3 linked regions of the Styela clava genome follow. The protein of the gene in region 1 binds, or shares a complex with, the protein of each later gene. Links are inferred from orthologs where the notes say so. Each region holds a gene or a part of one and is shown in the gene's direction. Other genes may lie near its edges.

Region 1 (7,450 bases):
TCGCGTAGAAATAATTTACAGAATCAAACCGGACAGCCAGTGTTCCCATGGATAAAATAATACAGCGAAATTTTAGACGAAATATCAGATTTCGTGCGATATTTAGAAATAAATAAAAGTAATAGCCTTCTGGCGGAAAAATCAATCTTTACTCACTGAAAATTTCAAAGCAATTGGTAGTAGTCAAAGAGAAAAGCAATTTTTTTTAAAATGATGGAGACAAATAATAACAATAACAACAAAATTTTGAAACGATCGTTATGTCCACTACGTGTCCAATAAGAATGTCCTGGATTCTTTAGTTTGAATAAAATCCGACGGGAGTGCTGTGGTCCATCCCGCATCGCTTCGTTTCTCAAATGTATTTGAATATTTTATAAGTTACAAATAGTTTTATCACTAATAACAAAATATCTTCCAACCCCAAATTCCCCCCCCCCCTAAAATACTGGTACACACACTTCTGGAGCGCCATTTTTTTAAATTGCGTAAGATACGATATTTGAGTAACAGGCAAGACACTAATTATCAAGCTCAGCATCGTTCTCGCATACAGTAATGCCCAAACCCCTCGCATGGACCAAGATTCTCATGGAAACATCTGTTCTCTACAAATATTTGTGTCATGAAGCACGGAGTTCCACAAGGATCTTTACTTGGCCCATTATTTTTTCTAGCTTACATTAATGACATGTCCAGGTGTCTGAAATCCTCTGAGTCGATCATGTTTGCTGATGACACTAACTTGATTCTTCATGGTGAAAACCTTGAAGATCTATTCACAGTTGCAAACCAAGAACTAACCAACATTCGTAGCTGGATGTTAGTTAATAAATTATCTCTGAATGCTAACAAAACTAAATTTGTATTATTCCATCCAAGCAAGCATAAAAGTGTGAGTTGTTCAAAAAAACTACTGCTCAATGGCAATGAAATTGAAAGAGTGAAAGAAATAAAATTTCTAGGAGTTATCTTTGATGAAAATCTGTCATGGAAATCACAAATAATGCATGTTATTGGTAAAACAAAAAGAAACCTAGCAGTTTCTGCCAAAGTATCCCAGTGTGTTGATCAATCAGCTCTACTAGCAATGTTTCAATCATTACTACTTAGCCATATTCGATATTGTTGTTCAGTCTGGCTTCATGGTAATAAAACACTTGTCTCAAAACTGCAGAGTATTTGTAATAATTTTTTAAGAATAGTTTTTGGTAAAAGAAAACGTGAAAGTGTAGAATCTTACTTCAAATCACTAAATATACTTAAGGTTGAAGATATGATGAAATTTGAAATATTATCTCTAGCTCACGACTTCCATAATAATGCGCTGCCCAATTGCTTTAATGACATACTTGTCAAAAATACCTCCAACCGAAGAAGCAGTTCTGATTTATTCGTACCTTTCATGAGTAAATCCGTGAGTCAGCATTCCTTGTCTTTTACTGGACCCAAACTTTGGAATTCTCTTTCCTTAAATTTGAAGACCTTAAAGTCCAAAAAATCTTTTCAAAAACAAGTCAAGTCTCATTTAGTTTCCAAATATTAAAAATTACTACTGGTGGTATTCGATGACAAAAACTTGGGACACTCCACACTTGCACATTATTGTTTTAATGAAAATGTTGAACAGCTATAATAATATTGTTATATCTTGCCACGACTTGGCCAGAACTAGTCCAGCACCAAAGAAATGGTATTGTGACATGCTTGAGTATATATATATATATTTTTAAATATATAGGTAGCTAACGTACCCGGATGATATTTTCTTTAAATAACTGCACACATTCTATCACTTCACGCTCGTGTTTTTATGTTTTTCTAGCTGTGATGTCCTTATCATACACGCTTGGTCTTATGTTTGAGTGGTGGTATAAGGGTTGTAGATAGTACAATATTGTTCCTGCAAGGTTACTACTTATTGCAACTAGGCGAGCAGTAGAGCTATGTTGGTTTCTCCCCTTCAGATTTTAATTTGCTGTGGGTCATTGTAATTGGATGTGGTTTTTATATCATTTATGTATGCATGCGTTTTATGTTAGGGCATGGTGTTTGAGTTGACTTGTTGGCCAAGGTATAGATAGTAAAATTTTGTGTGTTTTTTGCATGGTGTGATAAATTTTTTTCTCTGTCCCAAGCAGAATGTCATCATAGATCATCTATCCATCGCTATACAATGACAATACATCCCATTTAATTAAACAATTATTTTTTGCCTGTAATAAATAGTTCAGAGCGTTCCCCTTCACCCAATCATTGAAACATCTACTCGCAGTTTTATTTTTTGTTTTTCAGGTTACTTCAAAGTGATTAAATGAAGTAAAACACATAAGAAAAAAATCAAAAAAGACTCCGATATCCTGTGAAATAACAACCTTATTCCTATATCCTTGTCTGAAATCAATACCCAAGAATGAAAAACCTCACTTACACCCTTTGTAACCAATTTATTTCCACATCCTACTTTACTTAATTATAGTAATTTTAGTGTTACCGGTAACTTTAATTACTTACTACAATCTGGACTATAATTTGGCAATAATAGGCTCTAATTTGGGGAATGAAATGGTCTCGCCCACCTCTTCATGCACCCAATTCTGGCAACTTTGGTTGGGCAACTTGGCATTTGACTCCAACTATAATCAGCTTGGCAATATGTTTTCAATAGAATCTTCCTTTTATATCTTAATTAACGATTAGAAGATCGATCAATTTGGCAATGGCAATCATTACAAAAATATCAATATGGTGTGGCAGATAATTTTCTTTTCTAGTATTTATTTATTTATTTTTTGTTTACTGTATAGTATACCCTAAATTTATCGCGTCTTATTCTTACTTAAATAAATTCTCAGTGGTTGTGTGTGTGGCTGGTGGGTGCATGTGAGCGTGTGTGAAATAACTTAATAATTTTAGGTGAGTAAACACGTACCACTTCCTCTTGGCAAAACCTTCCATCTTATATTTTGTACGTTATAAACCTTATCTAAGGTTTTGTTTGCTCCCCTGATTTCATAATCAGTTTTTATTTATTTGTTTTTATCTGTCAAATGTATTGTTATGCTGATTATGGAGTCGAAATAAACTTATACTAACTTATACTTATACTTATAATCATTAATGCGTCAAATTCGTCTATTCATACTTGGTCATGGTACGATGAGTTGCAGGTAGGAAACGTATCCCATGCGTTTCGTGCGAGGGAGTTTTAGACAAATGCAGATTTGTAATTGACGATATACACAGAGGTATACAGTAGCGTTGCACGTAGCGTAAGGTTGTTTTGACTTCATATTCTTGTTATCAGATTAACTTCGATAATTAGGATGGGACATGATGTCAATGACATGATGTCTCAATTTTAAAATGTCAATACAAATGTTGATAACGTTTGAACTAGAATTAAAACCTTGAAGATCACGAAGAAATATTGAAAAAATTGATAAATCATTCCGAACTTGGTTAGATGAATGAACTTGATATAATATGCAATATCTGGTATATAATTTATTGTTATTGACTTATTTGCTTTGAATAGTGAGTACATAAAAATAGAAACTGCGTGCAGAATCAGATGAGCATATTAAACCTCATGTACCACTACTTCTTGACTTCAGTACTTGAATGTTATATAAATATGTTTTCGATAAGAATTGGAGTAGGCCCTATTTCTGAGAATTAACTTGAATTGAAGTTGAGACTTGCATCTTTTTGTAGGTCATTTCTGCATTTAGTACATAGTCTGCAGACCTATAGATTGTATCTCTCACAACAGCACGTATACTGCATATATAAAAATTCCCACGAAACAAAAATTGGGTAAATAGTAGTAGATTTTTTAGTAATTATTCAGGCAGTAAAGCACAGATTGGACTTGGATTCCAAGAATAGCTGCATCAATAGAATCATCAATAGCAGAGACATCAATCATGATGCTGAGTGCAAACCCCTTCTTTACGAGACAGTCTGAGCCTCAATATTGGCGTGGCGGTGTGGGTCATCGTGCTAAGCGGTGCTAAGCGATAGGAATGTGCTCGCCACCGCACCTCTGATTACTCTGCATGGTTATGTGCAAGAGGATTGCTGAACACCTCACCGTCGTAGGGTGGTCCACGTAACCGCTGGTCTGTCACGGCTTCCTCCACCATCAAGTCCATGCCTCCAAAAAAACAAGTAGGCTAATTAACTAATCCCATACCCGACATGGAATGGTATCTTATCGACTTACCTCTCCCCCGAGATAAATATGTAAATCCTAATCTAAAAATATCCTCATCAGATTCCTTCCTTCCTTCACAATTTTGATCATGTGACGGCTGCGATTAATTTAGATTTATTTACTTAATCAAATGACTGAAAATTTTGGAACAAGAGAACTGTGTCCTACTGCAGTATTAGCTATGCATCTAATATTTGCCTAATATCCAACTTTTTAGGTGTATTTCAACAATTTACTTTATCTATACAAGGACATAATATAGATACAACAAACATATTCCACCATGGATACAGAAATGTACGATGAGTTTGGGAATTATATCGGACCTGAGTTAGATTCCGATGAAGAAGATGAGGAAGTAGATAATGACATGTCACCATCACATGATCTCGATCGGCAAGAAGATGACGATGACAATGATGTTGATATGGATGGCAGTGGAATTGCAAGTAATACACACAATATTTTTATATGTAGATTATGATATTAATCTTAGTAAAAGGAAAAAAAAATAGGTCAATTTGATCATATATCGAACCATGGATTCTTGTCTCGTTTTCATGCGTTGGTATTTTAATTTTAGTCTGCCTACATCCCATATAAATTTATTGCAAATCAAAAATAGCGATCACCAAACTCAATAATAGTACTTATTACTGGTTTTATGCAGAATTTAATGTAAAACATGATTTTATTAACACCGGCCAGATTTAGTAACAAAAATTTTTTCTGTGAAATTTTATTAGTCTGAATTCTAGATAACTAACTTATAATGTGAATAGAATTCTCAAATCCAAAATCAATTTCGACATGATACAATTTTCATTTTTCTTATATGGTATATTCATAGTCCTTTGCTCTGAACAAGGCTCTGCAAAAGAGACCAATGCTAGGTATTAAGCTACCATAGTGAGAAAGGGGACACCCTGGACATGGGATTTACTGCTAAGTCTAACGTATTAACCACTGACCTACCGCACCCACAATTAATATATTGAAATAAGGAAATTTAATTTTAGAAACTGGGATGGAAGTTGTTTTACATGAAGACAAAAAATATTATCCAACCCATGAAGAAGTTTACGGTGAAGAAGTCGAGGTAAAACTTTCGGTTTAGTTTTACATTATATAATTCAGTATAGTTTTTCTGGCTGCGATTTAGATATGTTGCCAATGTATCCTCACTATGTTGAGATATGTTAGATTCGGGCTAATAGGCACTCATCGAAAAATTAGCAATTTTTGTTTGTCTGTTGCATTGGCAATAGTTAATCAACTTGATTTTTTTTTCCTACTACTGTGTGAGTTTTTGTGATTTTCTTTTCACCAACTCAATTGAAAATCTATTGTTTTAATTGCAACATTTTAAATTAAACAAGGGTGAATGTTAAAAATATTACTGAGAAATAAAAGTTTCAAAGTAATCAAATTGAAGTTTAGAGGCTATTTAGACCCAAATTATTTCAATAAAAATTTACAGGGATATAAAAGTGTCTCGAGTTTTTTTAAGTTTCGCTTTTTTGGATCAAAGCTCTCGACTATTCAATATTGTTTCAGGATAATTTTTTTTAGATAAAATTACTAGGACTATATTGGTGTTTTTTGTTTTCGGCCACCAATCTGATTTTCTGGAATTGTCAAATTCCGAAGGATTAACCTGCAAAGTTGTGGTTATTCTATATCTATTATATTCTAAAATTTTATGGTTGAGCAATTTTTCAACAATTTTACTCAGACGATAGTGCAAGAGGAAGATGCACAGCCACTGACAGAACCGATTATTGCTCCGATAAGAAGGAAGAAGTTCGCACTCATGGTCCAAGATTTACCAAACACTACATATGATATGGAATATCTTGCTGATCTCATGGACTCACCAGAACTTATAAGAAATGTTGTTATTGCAGGACATTTGCATCATGGAAAGGTATTTGATAAATTATTTTTTTGCAAATTTATGTCAATATGCCATAAGATGAATTGAACCATAGGATAAATAAGGTTTTGGCCAACGTGCTTCGTGATTTAGTACCATGTTTGTAGCATTTTTTAACTGGATTTTTTTTACCCAGAGACGGAGCCAATTTTTCCAACTCGTATTCAGAGTCAGTTGTAAATTTTTTCCCGACACTACAGCTCTATTAACAACATTTTCGCTAATGTGAATTTAAATAATTAGTGCAGGATAGAACCTACTTAATAATATTGACTATATTTTTTTCTGCCTCTGATATCTCTGTATCAATGAATCGGTCATACTGGTCCAGACTATTAACCAAATGAGAGGTCATACTTCTTGCTGTAGCATAAAGCTGTGATCCAAGCTTGTCTCAGTAAATAGAGCGGGTGATACTAGAAATTCTAGTGGCTGATCTCCTTGCCATCTTTTTTTTTTTTCTTTCGCATTCATTATTTTCTAACACTTCATACAAATAATAAAATTTATTTTTTTCAGCTTGTAATTTTTTGTTTTTAATATATTAGTTAAATTTGTATATTAAAAACATTTAATTAAATATACAAATTTCAATGATTAATTATTTTTATTCCTCTGGCCACTGCCACAGTGTCTGGTAAAAATCTTGGACGTTCTGAAGAATAAAAAGACAGTGAAAAGCATTTTTCATTGGTTTCTAAATATTAATATGATGTCCTTCTTTATTCAATCCATGTTATTGTTTGTTTTAGACAAATTTTGTCGATTGTCTGATCGAACAAACTCATCCAGATATTGCAAAGAAAGAAGCTAAAGACGTAAGTTTGAAAATCTTGAGATCTATTCCGATCATTTTTTTTGTGTCCTACCGAGTTTATTAGGGCATACATGCTAGAGAAACAGTATCTTGGAATTTTTTTAATTTGAATATGATCCAGAATTATCCAGGATTCCAAATATCAAATACGCTGCAGCCATAAATCCTTGATCTATTTTTCTTCATTATTCACAGTTGAGATTTACCGACACATTATTGACTGAACAAGAACGTGGATTAAGCATTAAATCACAGCCTGTTACTCTGGTATTGCCTGATACAAGAGGCAAAAATTATCTTATCAATGTTATGGATTCTCCAGGTCATGTCAACTTTTCAGATGAGGCAAGTGTTGAGTTTGTAATATCTTATTATACATATAAAATTGAACTTTGCGTCCCCAATTAGATAAATAAGTGTAAATGTTACGTCATTTTGTTGACATTGCATTTATTCTTTAGGTCTGCGTGTTTACAAA
Region 2 (6,943 bases), on another chromosome or scaffold:
TTAATATCTCGTAGATGTTCCTTGCTGCGAGTTTCCAGGCTTCTTTTTGGTTTCTCCAATGTAGACTGAAGAACAATCGCTGCATGGGATTGTATATACAACTCCGTTTTTTTTGTTTAGGGCATGGGCGGTCTTTGACGTTGGAGAGCAATTGGCCGATAGTGTGTTGGGGTTTAAAACTTACTCTGATTTTAACGTCTTCCAAAATTCTTCGAATTTTTTCACTTAGTCCTTGGACATACGGAATGGTGGTAGATGCGATTGGTATGGGTTTATCAGGCGGTTTTTGGAGATTTACATGATTTCTGAACATTTTCGTTGGATATCCATTTTGTCGTAAAGTCTTCTTAATGAAATTTATTTCTTGTTTCTGCTTTGTTTCATCCGATATAAGAGTTTTGGCACGATTCATAAGACTACTAACCACTGAACGTTATGGTTAAGCGGGTGGCTAGAGTTAAAATTGAGGTAGCGATTAGTATGGGTCTTTTTCCTAAATATATCAGTCGTCAATTCTCCATTTCCTTCACTCTGTATCTGGACATCTAAGAAGGCTATTGTCCCATTGACTTCTTTTTCTATGGTAAATTTTATGCTTGGTTCGATCGTGTTGCTGTGGTCGTGGAACGCGTCACAAAATTCCTCAGGTCATTTGAGGGTGTTATCGTTGCAGCAAGGAAGAGGCATGAAATAAAATTTACCTAATTGTGTGACAGTGTAGTTATGTACACAAATTAAATTAGGTCCATGTGTTCAATTAGTACCGGCAGTCCGGATATAAGGTAGCAAATAGATTATAATCTCATCAAATTGCCATTGGTCTACCAGTATTATAACTTCAATATGTATTGAATCAGACTTTTATGAGTTTTATTCCGTCAAAGGAAACATGATCCTTCCTCGTTGGTTAGGCACAGAAATTGATACGGCATAGGATGGAGGTCCGTCAAAAATAAAATGCGACGATAGAGCCAATCGATTTACCGCCTTCCTTAATACCCGATATAAAGCAAATGACACAAGGAGGAGAAGTACTCACGCTACTCGACCTCAAGAAAGCCTATTTTCATTGTGATATGACCGAAGCATTTAGAACCTTTCTTGGAATAACAGTGAAAGGGGTACACATACGTTGGTGCAATATTCCAATGGGACTCAAAACTGCCGTTGCGTTATGGTCGGCTAACATGCAAGAGTGTGTGGTGAAACCCATAACAGCGACGTATCGGGAACACGTGACTAACAAAAAGTGATTGGAGGAGCAAAAAGCGTCGCTGATAGAAGCATACATAGACGACATCTTCCTGAGCACTAAAACAGTCGAGGACCACCTAACGTTACTCTAAATGACCTTCGAACAATTAACAAAATGAAATCGATCTTTAAGCATCAATAAGTGTTTTATTGGAAAAGAACCTGCTAGATCAAGATCAACCTGCTAGGCGCCACCTTGAGTGGGGAAGAAATAGAGGTTCAACCGGAAAGACTGAAGATGATGAAAGAACTACCACCGGCGCGAAATATATACAAACTCAGAGGATGGATCGGTGCTTTGAGGTATATAGCAGATCATATTCCGGAACTCAATCGGAAACTAGCGAAGTTTGACGCCCTAACAGGAAACGTACCTACCACAAGAAGCAGAGGCACGCCAGTAGTATGGACTAAAGAATTACTTGAAGACTACAAAATCGCACGACGCCAACTAAATAACACGAAAATATTACATGATGTAGACCAAAAGCTTCTATTGTATGTCGTAACGGATGCTTTAGAGAACGGGTTTGGTGCTGTCATATTTCAAACAAAAGAGGGGAAGGAATCACCATTCGAAAACGTTTATCCTATAGCGCACTATAATCACCCCAGCAGCCAGAGCATATGACCCCTGCACGAAGGGGATTAACGCACAAAGGAGTCGGTGGACAAGTGGCAATCTATTCCATACGCGATTCCTTTCACAATCCTAGCAGATAATACGGGAGTATTTGGCTTAAAAAAATGAAGGAATAACAGAAAAATCCGAGCCCTAAGATGTTAATACAACGATGGCCAACTCATTTGTCAGGATTCCAAATAGTTAAGTAATACACCCATCAGTCAACTAATGAAGTATTTACCTCGGATGGTTTATCACGTGCCTACTGGCTGGAAATGGCTGCCGGAGAAGGCGAGACAGGAATTTGGTCTACGTACGTGACACCAACAGACAAATTAATAGAAAAGTTTCAATTTCTTGTTGCGTTTTGTCATAAAATACTATTATCGGGAAATATGATTATCGTTAGACATAGGTAGATTCCGGTTTTATTTTAAAGTCTTCCCCCTCGGTAAAATTTTTTATGTTTCAGTATTTGTAAGATAATTCACTATATAATATAATAGGCAAATTTCGTGATGTACAAATTAATAGAAAAGTTTCAATTCCCTGTTGCATTTTGTCATAAAATACCATTATCGGGAATTAGGATCATCGTTAGACATAGGTAGATTCCGGTTTTATTTTAAAGTCTCCCCCCCCCCCCCGGTAGAATTTTTCAGAATTTGTAAGATAATTCACTATATAATATAAAAGGCAAATTGCGTGATGTACAAAATAATATAAAAGTTTCAATTCCCTGCCGCATTTTGACATAAAATACTATTATCAGAGTCATTATATAATGGCTCTGCTATTATCGTGAAATAGGATTATCGTTAGACATAGGTAGATTCCGTTTTTTTCCCTGGTAGAACTTTTCGTTATTTGTTGGATAATTAGATATATAATGTAATAAGTCAATTTCATGGTGTACAGAGTATTAGAAGTGCCGAAATCAGACTTCAAAGCCATCAAGACAATGTATCTCTTTGGATAAATGTTACTCAATTTGCTTGTTCAATCTTTATTTTAAAAGATGTATTTGTGCAAATCAGATTCGATTTGTTCATACCTCAATTTTATTGATGGAAATGAATAGGTTTGATATTCGCTTAGATTTAAATTTTCATGTTGTGAAACCCTCCTGCAGTCCTGTGAATTCATGCTTGTTTACCTACATACCTGGCATAAGGGATAAGAGATATTATTGTTCAGCTGATTTTGATTCATTTTCCCGGCAATTATATAAGTATAAGTTTATTTCGACTCCATAATCAGCAATAGACGATAATAATAGATAAAAATAAAAGTAACTGATTATAGAATCGGGAGAGCGAACAAAACCTCGAGTAAGGTTTGAAACGTACAGATTTTAGATGGAAAGGTATTGATAAAAGAAGTAGATCTAGTACGTGTTCGCTCACCCAAATTGTGGCTGTGCCATCAATTGCCGGACTTTGAGAGGTTCTGGCGCTGAGTTAAACATGGATATATGTAATTTAGTAATCTGTGAACGTTTAGGATGCCTTGACTTACGGTGAAACATTGTCAGAACGTCAGGTCAGCCCACTCTCGTTCTGTCGTTTGACGCTAGCCCAAACTCGCGGGATGCCAGCACACACTCGTGTGACGCTAGCCTACACTCTGACACTCGTGTGAAGCTAGCCCACACTCGTTTTTGTCAGGCCATACTAGGGGTAACTGGGCCGTGCTTGGTATTGTATTTGCGTTGTGTATATCAGATATGGTCTCTATGTTGTCAGAGTCACCAAGTTTTTATGTAATAACAGTTATAAAGTCAGTAAAATAGTTGGTTAACCCCTTGACGTCAGGCTGAATGTGGGCTGGAGTAATTTTGGTCTTATCATTGATATCTCTTAATGTGACGGCTGCGCCGTAGGTTACTGTAATATTCAATCCAAAAACAACAAATTTTCAATGCTCAATTTAATCAAACTAAATTATTTTTGACATATTTGCGATTAATAATTTTAAAATTTTGATTTGACTGATGAATTGACCAAAATCTAATTCTAAAATTTGATCCTCAAGGTAATACATTTTGGTCACTAGCAATAGGCGTAAAGTGAAAAAAATGGATGCAGGATTTTTCAGGGTAAGCCTCAATCATTTCATCGTTAAATAAATCTAAAATGTTGAGTTTCAATTGAACTATCTCATTTTCAACCTCAGCTTTCTGCATTTGGTCATTCTCACTCATTTCACTGTTTTTCACATTTACGTTAGTTGGTTCTCTATTTTTTGATTTATAAGATCGGATCTACTTTCTTAGATATGTTTTAACTTATAGGTTAAGTTATTACATAAGATTATTAACATAATTGGGGATGGTCAATTTAGAATATTGAATCCGCAAAATTCAAAGCATCTGTTTCCTACTTTGTTATAATTGGTATTCGTATTATAAGCTTGCACAAATTATAAATAGGATTAAATTAGTCAAATTATAGATTGGATATTTTAGCTTTCACATTTCATTTCTTTAGGGCACCAGTGCCGAGCAAGATAATCGTTTTGCCAACAAGCAAAAAAAATTGTTGAAATCGATGAAATTTGCAGACGGTTTGGAGAGCAAGGTAACATTTCATTTTTTTTTATAGGGATTGCTGGATTGGCACTTTCAATAACCTTCGAATCGAATTCTTAAATATTGAGGCATATTTGCTGTTATTATTTCTGTAGGATAATATTTCATTCATTTTTTATAAGTATTACATGGTTAAAATACTTAACTATTGCAGTATTGTATCAGGATGTATTTATATATTTTCATCAAATGTAAATTTATTGTAGTTCACCGTGTTTCTAGCGTTTTTGTTTTTAAAGTTGAGATCAGCCATGTTTCATTCAGATTGATATGAACAAGATCAATGTGGAAACAATTAAACCTTGGATTACGAAGACAATTACTGAAATGCTTGGCTTTGAAGATGATGTCGTCATTGAATATGTTTTTAATCACCTGGAGGAAAGAGTATGAAAGTTTTTATTTATTTGAGTAAAATTCATTTCATTTTTTTGAAATTCTCTTTCCTTACATATATTTTTCAGCATTGTGACTAGAGATGGGCAATGTAGGATAATTTACTATTATAGAATAGTTAAATCGAATCTAGAATACCGAATCCTAATCTATTTTCATACTTATTCAAAGAGTGGGAATTTCCACATTGCTAGATTTTGATGTTAAAAAATTTTAAATGTATTACTATAAATGTATTATTCATTTGGACATTTGATTTCATTTGATATTAAACAGGCATTTCCCAGGACAATAAATTTTATGAATATTACAATATATTTTGCCTTCCAATTGTTCCAAATGTATGTTATCCCTAAATACTGATATTCTAAATCAAGGCACGCTTTGAACACTTTAATAGTAAGCAGTTAAATACAAAAATAGATATGAAACATCGTTAAATCATTATTAATGTTAGGTCTGCCGAGTGTACTACAACATACCCACTGAGAATTACATATAAGCAGGACCAGCTTGTTGCCACTGCAACCTATGCACCCATTGTAAAATATTAAATTGAAGCGCTATCAATTAAAATCAACTTTTAATTCTGTGCGAGCAAGACTCGTGGAACCAAGTTTTTGTAAACACGATTTCGTACTTAGTTATTAGGTAATAACATCCAAAGACTCAATACGTCACTATCTCTGCCAGATGCGACAACTTTTTTTAAATTTATTGGCGACTAAAATACTACAAACACCCGATCAAATGTGCGTCTATCTTGAACGATAGAAACTGACCGAAAAATATGTAATCTTTTGAGAGTGAAATTCAAATGTGACAGATTTTCTCGTTTTGCGATATAACTTTGTATTTTGAAAAAAGGATGTAATAAAATTATTCGTAAATGATATTTGATGTAAATTAATCGCAAGTAATGTTATAACATTCAACGCTTTTGGTTCTGGTTCACATGCATTATTTTTTGAGAAAACTCGCAGGTCGCAAAAAATCATTTAATATAAAATGAAGCAAGGCACGTCTGTATCCAAATAAAGATTGTTGCAATCAGATTATCGGAATATCGCCAGTAAGTCGGCACAAATAATTAATAATAGTATACGCTAGCTAGATAGCAAAGCAGAAAAACGCAAAAATGGTGCAATAACGAGTCTTTGCCGTGAGGTGTACTTCGCCGACTTCGTGTCTTGAATATGCCGATTGAGATTACAGTGTCTGATGTTTACCGATTTCACGGGTTTATTGCGAGCAGACGCTGGAGAGGCGGAAACCGAATTTTGTTATCGGATCCTGCTGGATTTGAATACTTTGGGCTTTGAATCCTCCGGATTCGGTATTCTATATTGCCCATCCCTAATTGTGACACGTCCAGATTGAGCCGAAACAAAATCAAGTTTTGCATGATAGTCATGAGATACATATCCTAATCGCCTCATAAAGGATGATTATATTGGCGGTATGTTTGTCAAGAACCTAATCAAATGAAAGATTAGGAATATCTCTTTGTTTTCAAATTTTAATAACATTATTTTTATGAGGACAGTATCGGTAAAGGCTTTTGCTAGTGATGCACACACAAATGCAAATATTCACTGCAGAGATATTACAGATTCACTGTATGAACGGCGATTAACGAAAACTGATGGGAAGGCGTGCTATTGTTCTTTCACAATATTTTCTGATCGGAAAGTATTAATGCACCGACCCCAGAAAATTGGGTCTGAACATTGTCTTATTAGTTACAAAGTATGCCATATGTACATTTCTGCACATGCTGATTTTTTATTAAAATGGTTAGAAAATTGGGTCTGAACATTGTCTTATTAGTTACAAAGTATGCCATATGTACAGTTCTACACATGCTGATTTTTTATTAGAATGGTTATCTATATAGTTCATGTTTATTTTTTGTTTGTATTAGTATCCTGACCCAAAGAATCTTCAAATAAATCTCACTGGATTTTTGAACGCCAAGAATTCTAGACTTTTCCTTGGACAATTGTGGCCGCTTCTTACATCAGCACAAGAAAGTGCTACTGGTATCCCTTTGTCTTTTATGGAACAAAAGAAAGAAG
Region 3 (6,919 bases), on another chromosome or scaffold:
AAAAAAAAACTGGAGAACTGGAGATATCTTATAATTGGGTTTCACATCTGTGTGCTCTGGGGTAATACAGACGTAAATCATCCTGTTCCTTTCATAAAATCTATTCTGGTCAATTTTTGTATGAATCTAGAATTTAAATTACGCCACTAGTACGAATCATTCAAACTGAGGAATATTGTCAGACCAATCTTGACCTAACATAAACTTCTAGCGAAGTAAATCCTGAAACTGCTCAAACGAGAATATCGGTCAGAGACCAAAGACTTATCGATCGAAAGTTAGCGGGAGGGGGTCTCCCAAAACAGCGCTCTTACTCCATAATAACACCTTGTGTCCCATCACTAAATGTTTAATAACTCGCTGATTATACGACATAATTCGCCCAAAATTAATATGCTTTTGGTCCGAAATATGATGAATGCACATGCAAAATCTGGAGCAGATTCAATCTCGCTTTCGTAAGATATCGCGTGCATCTAACAGACATACACGCAGACAAATACCAATCAACATACTTACCGATCTAAGGATCGATAAGTAATAATGCCAAACAAATAAGTTGTTTTTGCGTTTTTAAAAATAAATTCTATCAGGCACTGAATGAGATTTATTGAGAGATGCCTTTAGTTAACCAAACCTACTTAATTTGCAACTAAGCAGGTATGGCCCATGTCAAATAGGGTATAGTGTTCCACAAGATACAGACTTATATTTAAAAAAAATGGAAATTAGCTGTATTTCACATCACATTTTCGTTTGCTGTTATTCAAGCAGTTATGGCGTTCACTTCGCTAGACCCCGTTGTTATCATTAAATTTCCAAAAAAAGAAAAAGTTTCTAACTACTGTAGATTTGAATGTTCTTATGCTGCTCTATTCTATAATTTATATTCAAAAATATCATTTCAAAATGTATTTGCAATTGTAGATTATTTGAAATCAATGTCATGCGTCTGCTTTGGCACTTTTGTGCAATTTTCTATAATATATACTTTTATGCTAAAAAATGTGATAATGCTTTCATTTTTTGCTATAGTCTGTTGTAATGATAAATAGTATAGAATTTTGACTTTTTTGTGCTATACTATACACTACAAGTCTACAACACAACGTTTAATGCTTTTAAAAATTAAATTATTACAGCCACATTTTCAATGGGCGATTGCCCTGCCCTCCCTGCTTTTCATTTTACCCTAATACTCTCCTTTTATCAAAATTGCTCAGTCGAATCCTCCACCACTTAAAAACGTTTTCATTTTTTAGGAATATGTATTAGTCTAGGATAAATATTCTGACATGGCATTGGTTGAAAACTTTGTTACAGTAGTTGGAGTTTTAACTATTCTCCGCTTTTTCTCAAGATTTGTGGGAACTGTTGCTCGCATAATCAACGAGTCATTGTGGAGTAAAACCTTTGATTTTAAGAAGTTCGGGACATGGGCGGTCGTTACCGGTGCTAGTGACGGAATTGGAAAAGCGACGGCATATGAACTTGCTAAAGCTGGAATGAATTTGGTGATCTTGGCTCGTACGAAGTCGAAACTTGATAAATTTGCTGACGAATTGCGACAAAGTTTCAACGTTCGTGTTATTGTTATAGCAGTTGATTTTTCAAATGGTGAAGATATTTATGATGTCATAAATGAAGAATTGAGGGATCTCGATATTGCATTGTTGGTTAACAATGTCGGCATGGCGTTCGGAAAACCTATGTCCTTCATGGACGTTCCAGAGTACAGAAAATATTCTACTAATGTTGTGAATGTCAATGTCTTGGCTGCCATGAAAATGACAGAAATCGTTTTGCCAAATATGGTCAAAAAGGGGGGTGGGATTATAACTAACATATCTTCGCTTGTTGCCTCTATGAATGGAGCATATTTTTCAGTTTATGGGGGTTCAAAAGCAGCTATCAACGCTTATACAGAAGCGATGCAGAATGAATACTCAAACAAAGGAATAATTTTTCAACTCATTGCTCCAGGTTTGACAGTCACACCAATGGCATTAACATACACTGACTTGAAACCAAATTTGTTGATCCCGGTATCAAAGTTGTACGGAAAACATGTTGTCAAGTCACTGGGAAAATCGTCTCACACAAATACAGGATTCCTTGGACATAATGTGTTTAAACTTTTCATAAATCTCATCCCAGATTTCTTAGCTGCAAAGATAAATGGATCTGAAGCAGCAAAATTAAAACCTAATAAATAGGATGAATTTAATGAAATGTTGACTTTGTGTATGTTGTGTAACTTGTGTTATAGTTTTAAGGTTTAAAAAAAAGCTAGAACTGTTGAAAAGTAGTTTTGAATTATATAGTGATACCTTGGTAGTCGAATAAATTCGTTCTGGATTGGTGTTGGAGTACCGAAACTTATGGTGATTATTTTAAACACATTCCAAAATACCGTACTCGAAATATTGAGAAATTTTTTTCATAACATAAAAAAAAATACCAACAAGATTAACAACAACATATTACCAAAACGTTCCACTTGGGCCCATTAAGTGTTCTATAATTTAAAAAACTTTTAAAAAACATTTGAAAAGTTATCATTTTAAGTAATTGGACCATGATCCCTGCTAGATAGGAATTCTAGAATACTTATCTGCTCATAACCCATTCTACCTCTAGTTACCAGATTTCTCCTTGCATAATATTCAGGTACATTTCAGCATATAATTCTATTGAAGTCAGTTGTGTATTATTTGTGGAAAGTCATGGTATTCTATATTGTTTCACTATCTAATTAATTTGTTTCTAATTTGTGAACGGGGCTCCCGAAGTATGCGAACCAAGATGGCGGACATCGGAACGTAACATGGGTAACAGGTTAGGGTTAGGCGATAATTTTTTTCCAATTTTCCTTATTTTAGTTCTATTATCAGTTCGAAGACTAGCCAAGAGCCTCCCGTAGTATTTATACCTAAAATTATGGCCTAACCCTAACCTAGTACACATATTACATTCCGATGTCCGCCATCTTGGTTCGCATACTTCGGGAGCCCCTTGTGAACTTCTTTTGCCATTGAGATTATAATACGGGGTGCCCAAAAAGTTCCGCCCGATTTCATAGCATTACCAATTGCAAATTTGAAAAATTTGGTTGTATGATAAATAGGGACTACAACATTTAACATATATAACATCAAATTAGAAACAGGTTGAATATAAATATTTTTTTAAATTAAAAAAATAGCATTTGATTATAAAGACTTTATAATCGGGCGAAACTTTTTGGACACCCTGTACATTGTATATATTTCATATTTTGCCTATTTTTGATTGTTAGAGGTTTAGATGTCTTGCTGAAACTAACACGAAAGTATTTTTATAAATTATATTGAACTCGAGGTTGTGTGGAGAAGTTTATGTTTGCTGAGATGATGATTATGCTGCATAAATACATTCGTGTTAGTTTGAAGCAAGAAATTTATTAAATCACATAGAATTTTCATATTTACTATTCCTGCAGCATTCTTGTATCATTGCCATACGGGTCCACCAGCATGGAAATATCGAGGAATAACATAGAATTGGTATCAATTTAGTTAAGTTGTTTAGCAGGTAATGGTACATAATGCACCCACCAACATGATTCCCTGTAGTTTCAGTAACTCCCGGAATTCAGTTGTAATTTTGCTCAGAAATCTGTCTCTATTGATGATTCTGCTTTACTTTTGAGTGAGTTTGCGTGGCCTAGCGTTTCTTCAAGCAAATGTAAAAAAATGCCATAAAATAAAGATTTAATATGCAAACACTCACCGCTATATTACATTATACAAGTGAATTTTGTCCCACCAATTTTACAAGACTTTTTTTCAATTTGTATGCTGTTTATTTTTATCAAAATTTTTTATAAAATTCATTGATTTCCAGGCATAGACATAGATATAAAATGACTTCACTCAGCCGGGAGGAATACTTGAAGAAATATCTTGCCCCAGTTGAAAGTGGCGACTATAAGAAACGGAAAAAGAAAAAAGGGGGAAAAGTCAAACAGTGAGTGATGTTGTTTTTCATCTGTCATGAGGAGAAAACTGACAAGGTTTAGTTAATTTATGGCGAGTTAGTGCAAACCGCGATACGTGAAGAGATTTTTTGTGGCCCTTGAACTTCATTTTTAATGCATAAAACCAAAAATTGCTCAGAAATTTATAGTTATCTGTTGGCGGATGTATGTCGAAACAATGTCTGTTGTGCGGTGGTTGTTTTGCAGTAGTTAGCGAACATATCGGGGGATTCTGGCTGCTTCCTGAACGAATACCTACTTGTTAGTTTGTAATTAACACAGAAATAGAAGTTGCGGTCATGTCATAATTTGAAGTTTATTAATGTGGCGGCTGTTCATAGGTGGAAAATAATGCAGCTCATACTCTGCCGTCAATAGGCATATTTGGCCGAGTAGTATCGCAGTGCCGATGACTGTTTTATATGTATGAACTTCAAAACTATATTGGCCATACCTTTGTACATAGTAATCTCCAGTTTCTCTTTGGTGTGACTGGGATCTTTCCAGTTCATCATGGGTTATGTGGCCTACCCTGTTTATTATATCTCGGCTTACATTCTGTTTTTTGTATCGATTTACTTGAGTTTCTCTCTGTACTAATGCTTAGCACATTTATCTCATGGGAGAGGAAAGATATTAGTAAGAGTTTTTTCTGACAAGCCGAGTTCTTCACATGCCTTATTTGTTGTACAGGGTGTCCATAAGTTCGTTTACAATTCCAATTTTGTTATGAAGTCAGTTCTCAATATAGCATTACCAGGTTTATTGTTTTTTAATCAGTAATTTTTAAGTATTTTCACTTCATTCAATACATCTGTGAGGGCCAAAACAATATATGGTATCGTTAAATTCTCTCTACAGTTTATGAAAATTATATAATACTTTATTGACACCCTAGATATATGGATTTTGGCGGCATATGTCAATGAGGAGTTCTTGCACATAAGTATCTCCTCCCATGAGGTTTCAGCTTTCGGACTAACACAGAGTATGTGTGCATCCCACCCACGAGCCCTGTCATTTTATTTTTTATTTTATTATTTTCAGAGGAAGGGGCATGAAAATAGTCGATGACGATGTTTCATGGAAAAATATTGGACCGAAAGATGAGGAGGGGGATTTCCCTGATGCTTTACTGGTACGTTATACATATTTTATTCAAGCAAGGTTTCTGGGGATGCCATTATAGTTGAGTCTAATGCTTTAACCACAAGCCCCCATTGGCCTAGTTTGTGTAATCTTATCTATTATTTTCTCTCCTAGCTTATTTGACATGAAGTGGACCTATAGATCGTTTTGGTATTAATTAGGTTGTTGTTCTTTTTCTTGTTACCTTATGAAAAAAATCGCTCCTCTTACTCAACAAGTGACCAATTGCTTTGGTACTTTCAGTGGTTAAAATAGTCGATTACGTTGGCTTTTTAATATTAAACATGGTGCATTGAATACATCATGAAAACTCCTTAACAGCAAGGTATTTTCATAGAAAAGGAGGACCAAAAAACGTTACAGTCGTTGGAAGATAGAATAGATCATAAAAGTATTAGAAGCACTGACCTATGACCTTTTTATCTTCTCAGACACAGGAAGAGAAACCTCAAGTTGAAGTTATCGACAACAGAACAAAATCTGAGAAGGAACTTGATGCGTATAGGAAGAGCAGTAAATGGAAAACATTGAAGGAAGACAGCGATGAAAATAGGGTTTGTACTGCGTAATGCTTCATTTCCGGTACTCCCGAAGTATGTGAACCAAGATCTCGGATACTTTAATGTAGTATGTATACCAGAATATGGGTAGGCCATAATTTTATCCCAATTTTTCCCATTTTAGTTCTATTACGAGTTCGGGGACTAGCCAAGTGACTCCCGTAGTATTTGTACCTGAAATTATGGCGTAACCCTAATCGGGTACACATACTATGTTCCGGTGTCCGCCATCTTGGTTCACACACTTCGCGAGTAGGCTACCTTGTTTTCAAGTTTCCCCGATTTTCATTCTCGTATGAGATTTCACCAGGGCTGCTGAATCGGCATAAGTTTACAATCAACTCCGAGTTGATTCAAAATTTTTGAATCAGATTCCACATCTGAACTTATGCAAGTCTCCATTAAAAACATGTCAAATGATTGCCTATTTCTTATTTGTTAATAAGTATGATATCTCTTGCTTTGTTTCAATTGACAACGCAATTTTGACGATCCATAAGTGTGTGTACTAATATGGAGGTGACTAATTTTGTTCGCCTACTTTACATCATGTTGTGTAAAGGGACTGAAACCTACTAGTCATCGAACTCGTAATAGAAGTAAAATAAAAAAAAAACGGAATCAAATTATGGCCTAACCCTAACTTGGTACTATCAATTTTGATAACTGAATTTTATATAGTTTAAGTGGCTCTTGGAATTTTAGTCTCATAAATCTCTCTCTTATAGTGTTTGATATTACTTTTTTTTAAATAAAAATTCGAAAATTCCAATTTTTTTACAGATTGTGATAGAAGATTCTGGTAGTGATTTTGATGACATCCCTCGGAAAAAGCAATCAAATAATTCCAGACACGATTCGGACAGCGATATAGAAATCCCGAGGAAATCAGAGGCTAAATCACGAAAAAGGCATGACTCTACTAGTGGAGACGATACAGCGCCACCAAGGGGATCTAAAATTTCTAAAAGGACTAAACATAATGATTCCGATAGTGACTTGGACATAAGGACTAAAAAGCATGACAGAGCAGAAAATACTTTTAGAAGAAAACATGACTCATCAAGTTTAACTGACTCTAGATCAGGAAAACATTCACACAAAGGTCATAGGTCAAGGCACGATTCTGATTTAGAAATTCGAAGATCGACTTCTAAATCAAATAGAAATACAGATAGAAATGGACAAAACA

Evidence for each region. Proteins that work in one complex are often made in the same cells at the same time.
Region 2: 116 kDa U5 small nuclear ribonucleoprotein component-like (region 1) and uncharacterized protein LOC120339308 share a complex: the UniProt entries of both Homo sapiens proteins name them as parts of the minor spliceosome. The link is inferred for Styela clava from reciprocal best matches to the Homo sapiens genes EFTUD2 and SRRM1.
Region 3: 116 kDa U5 small nuclear ribonucleoprotein component-like (region 1) and uncharacterized protein LOC120336929 share a complex: the UniProt entries of both Homo sapiens proteins name them as parts of the minor spliceosome. The link is inferred for Styela clava from reciprocal best matches to the Homo sapiens genes EFTUD2 and BUD13.

Annotation. Positions count from the first base shown.
Region 1 is NC_135262.1:13,319,085-13,326,534, forward strand, and holds the start of 116 kDa U5 small nuclear ribonucleoprotein component-like, read left to right. Parts: upstream 1-4,437; 5' UTR 4,438-4,502; coding exon 4,503-4,668; intron 4,669-5,238; coding exon 5,239-5,318; intron 5,319-5,954; coding exon 5,955-6,146; intron 6,147-6,907; coding exon 6,908-6,973; intron 6,974-7,167; coding exon 7,168-7,317; intron 7,318-7,450. UniProt on the Homo sapiens protein: Required for pre-mRNA splicing as component of the spliceosome, including pre-catalytic, catalytic and post-catalytic spliceosomal complexes. Component of the U5 snRNP and the U4/U6-U5 tri-snRNP complex, a building block of the spliceosome.
Region 2 is NC_135250.1:14,829,966-14,836,908, reverse strand, and holds the start of uncharacterized protein LOC120339308, read left to right. Parts: upstream 1-3,913; 5' UTR 3,914-3,956; coding exon 3,957-3,977; intron 3,978-4,368; coding exon 4,369-4,458; intron 4,459-4,733; coding exon 4,734-4,856; intron 4,857-6,789; coding exon 6,790-6,943. UniProt on the Homo sapiens protein: Part of pre- and post-splicing multiprotein mRNP complexes. As a component of the minor spliceosome, involved in the splicing of U12-type introns in pre-mRNAs. Involved in numerous pre-mRNA processing events.
Region 3 is NC_135251.1:6,173,833-6,180,751, forward strand, and holds the start of uncharacterized protein LOC120336929, read left to right. Parts: upstream 1-3,889; 5' UTR 3,890-3,904; coding exon 3,905-4,008; intron 4,009-5,065; coding exon 5,066-5,156; intron 5,157-5,598; coding exon 5,599-5,721; intron 5,722-6,510; coding exon 6,511-6,919. Other genes in the region: very-long-chain 3-oxoacyl-CoA reductase-like, read left to right, coding at 1,296-2,216. UniProt on the Homo sapiens protein: Involved in pre-mRNA splicing as component of the activated spliceosome. As a component of the minor spliceosome, involved in the splicing of U12-type introns in pre-mRNAs.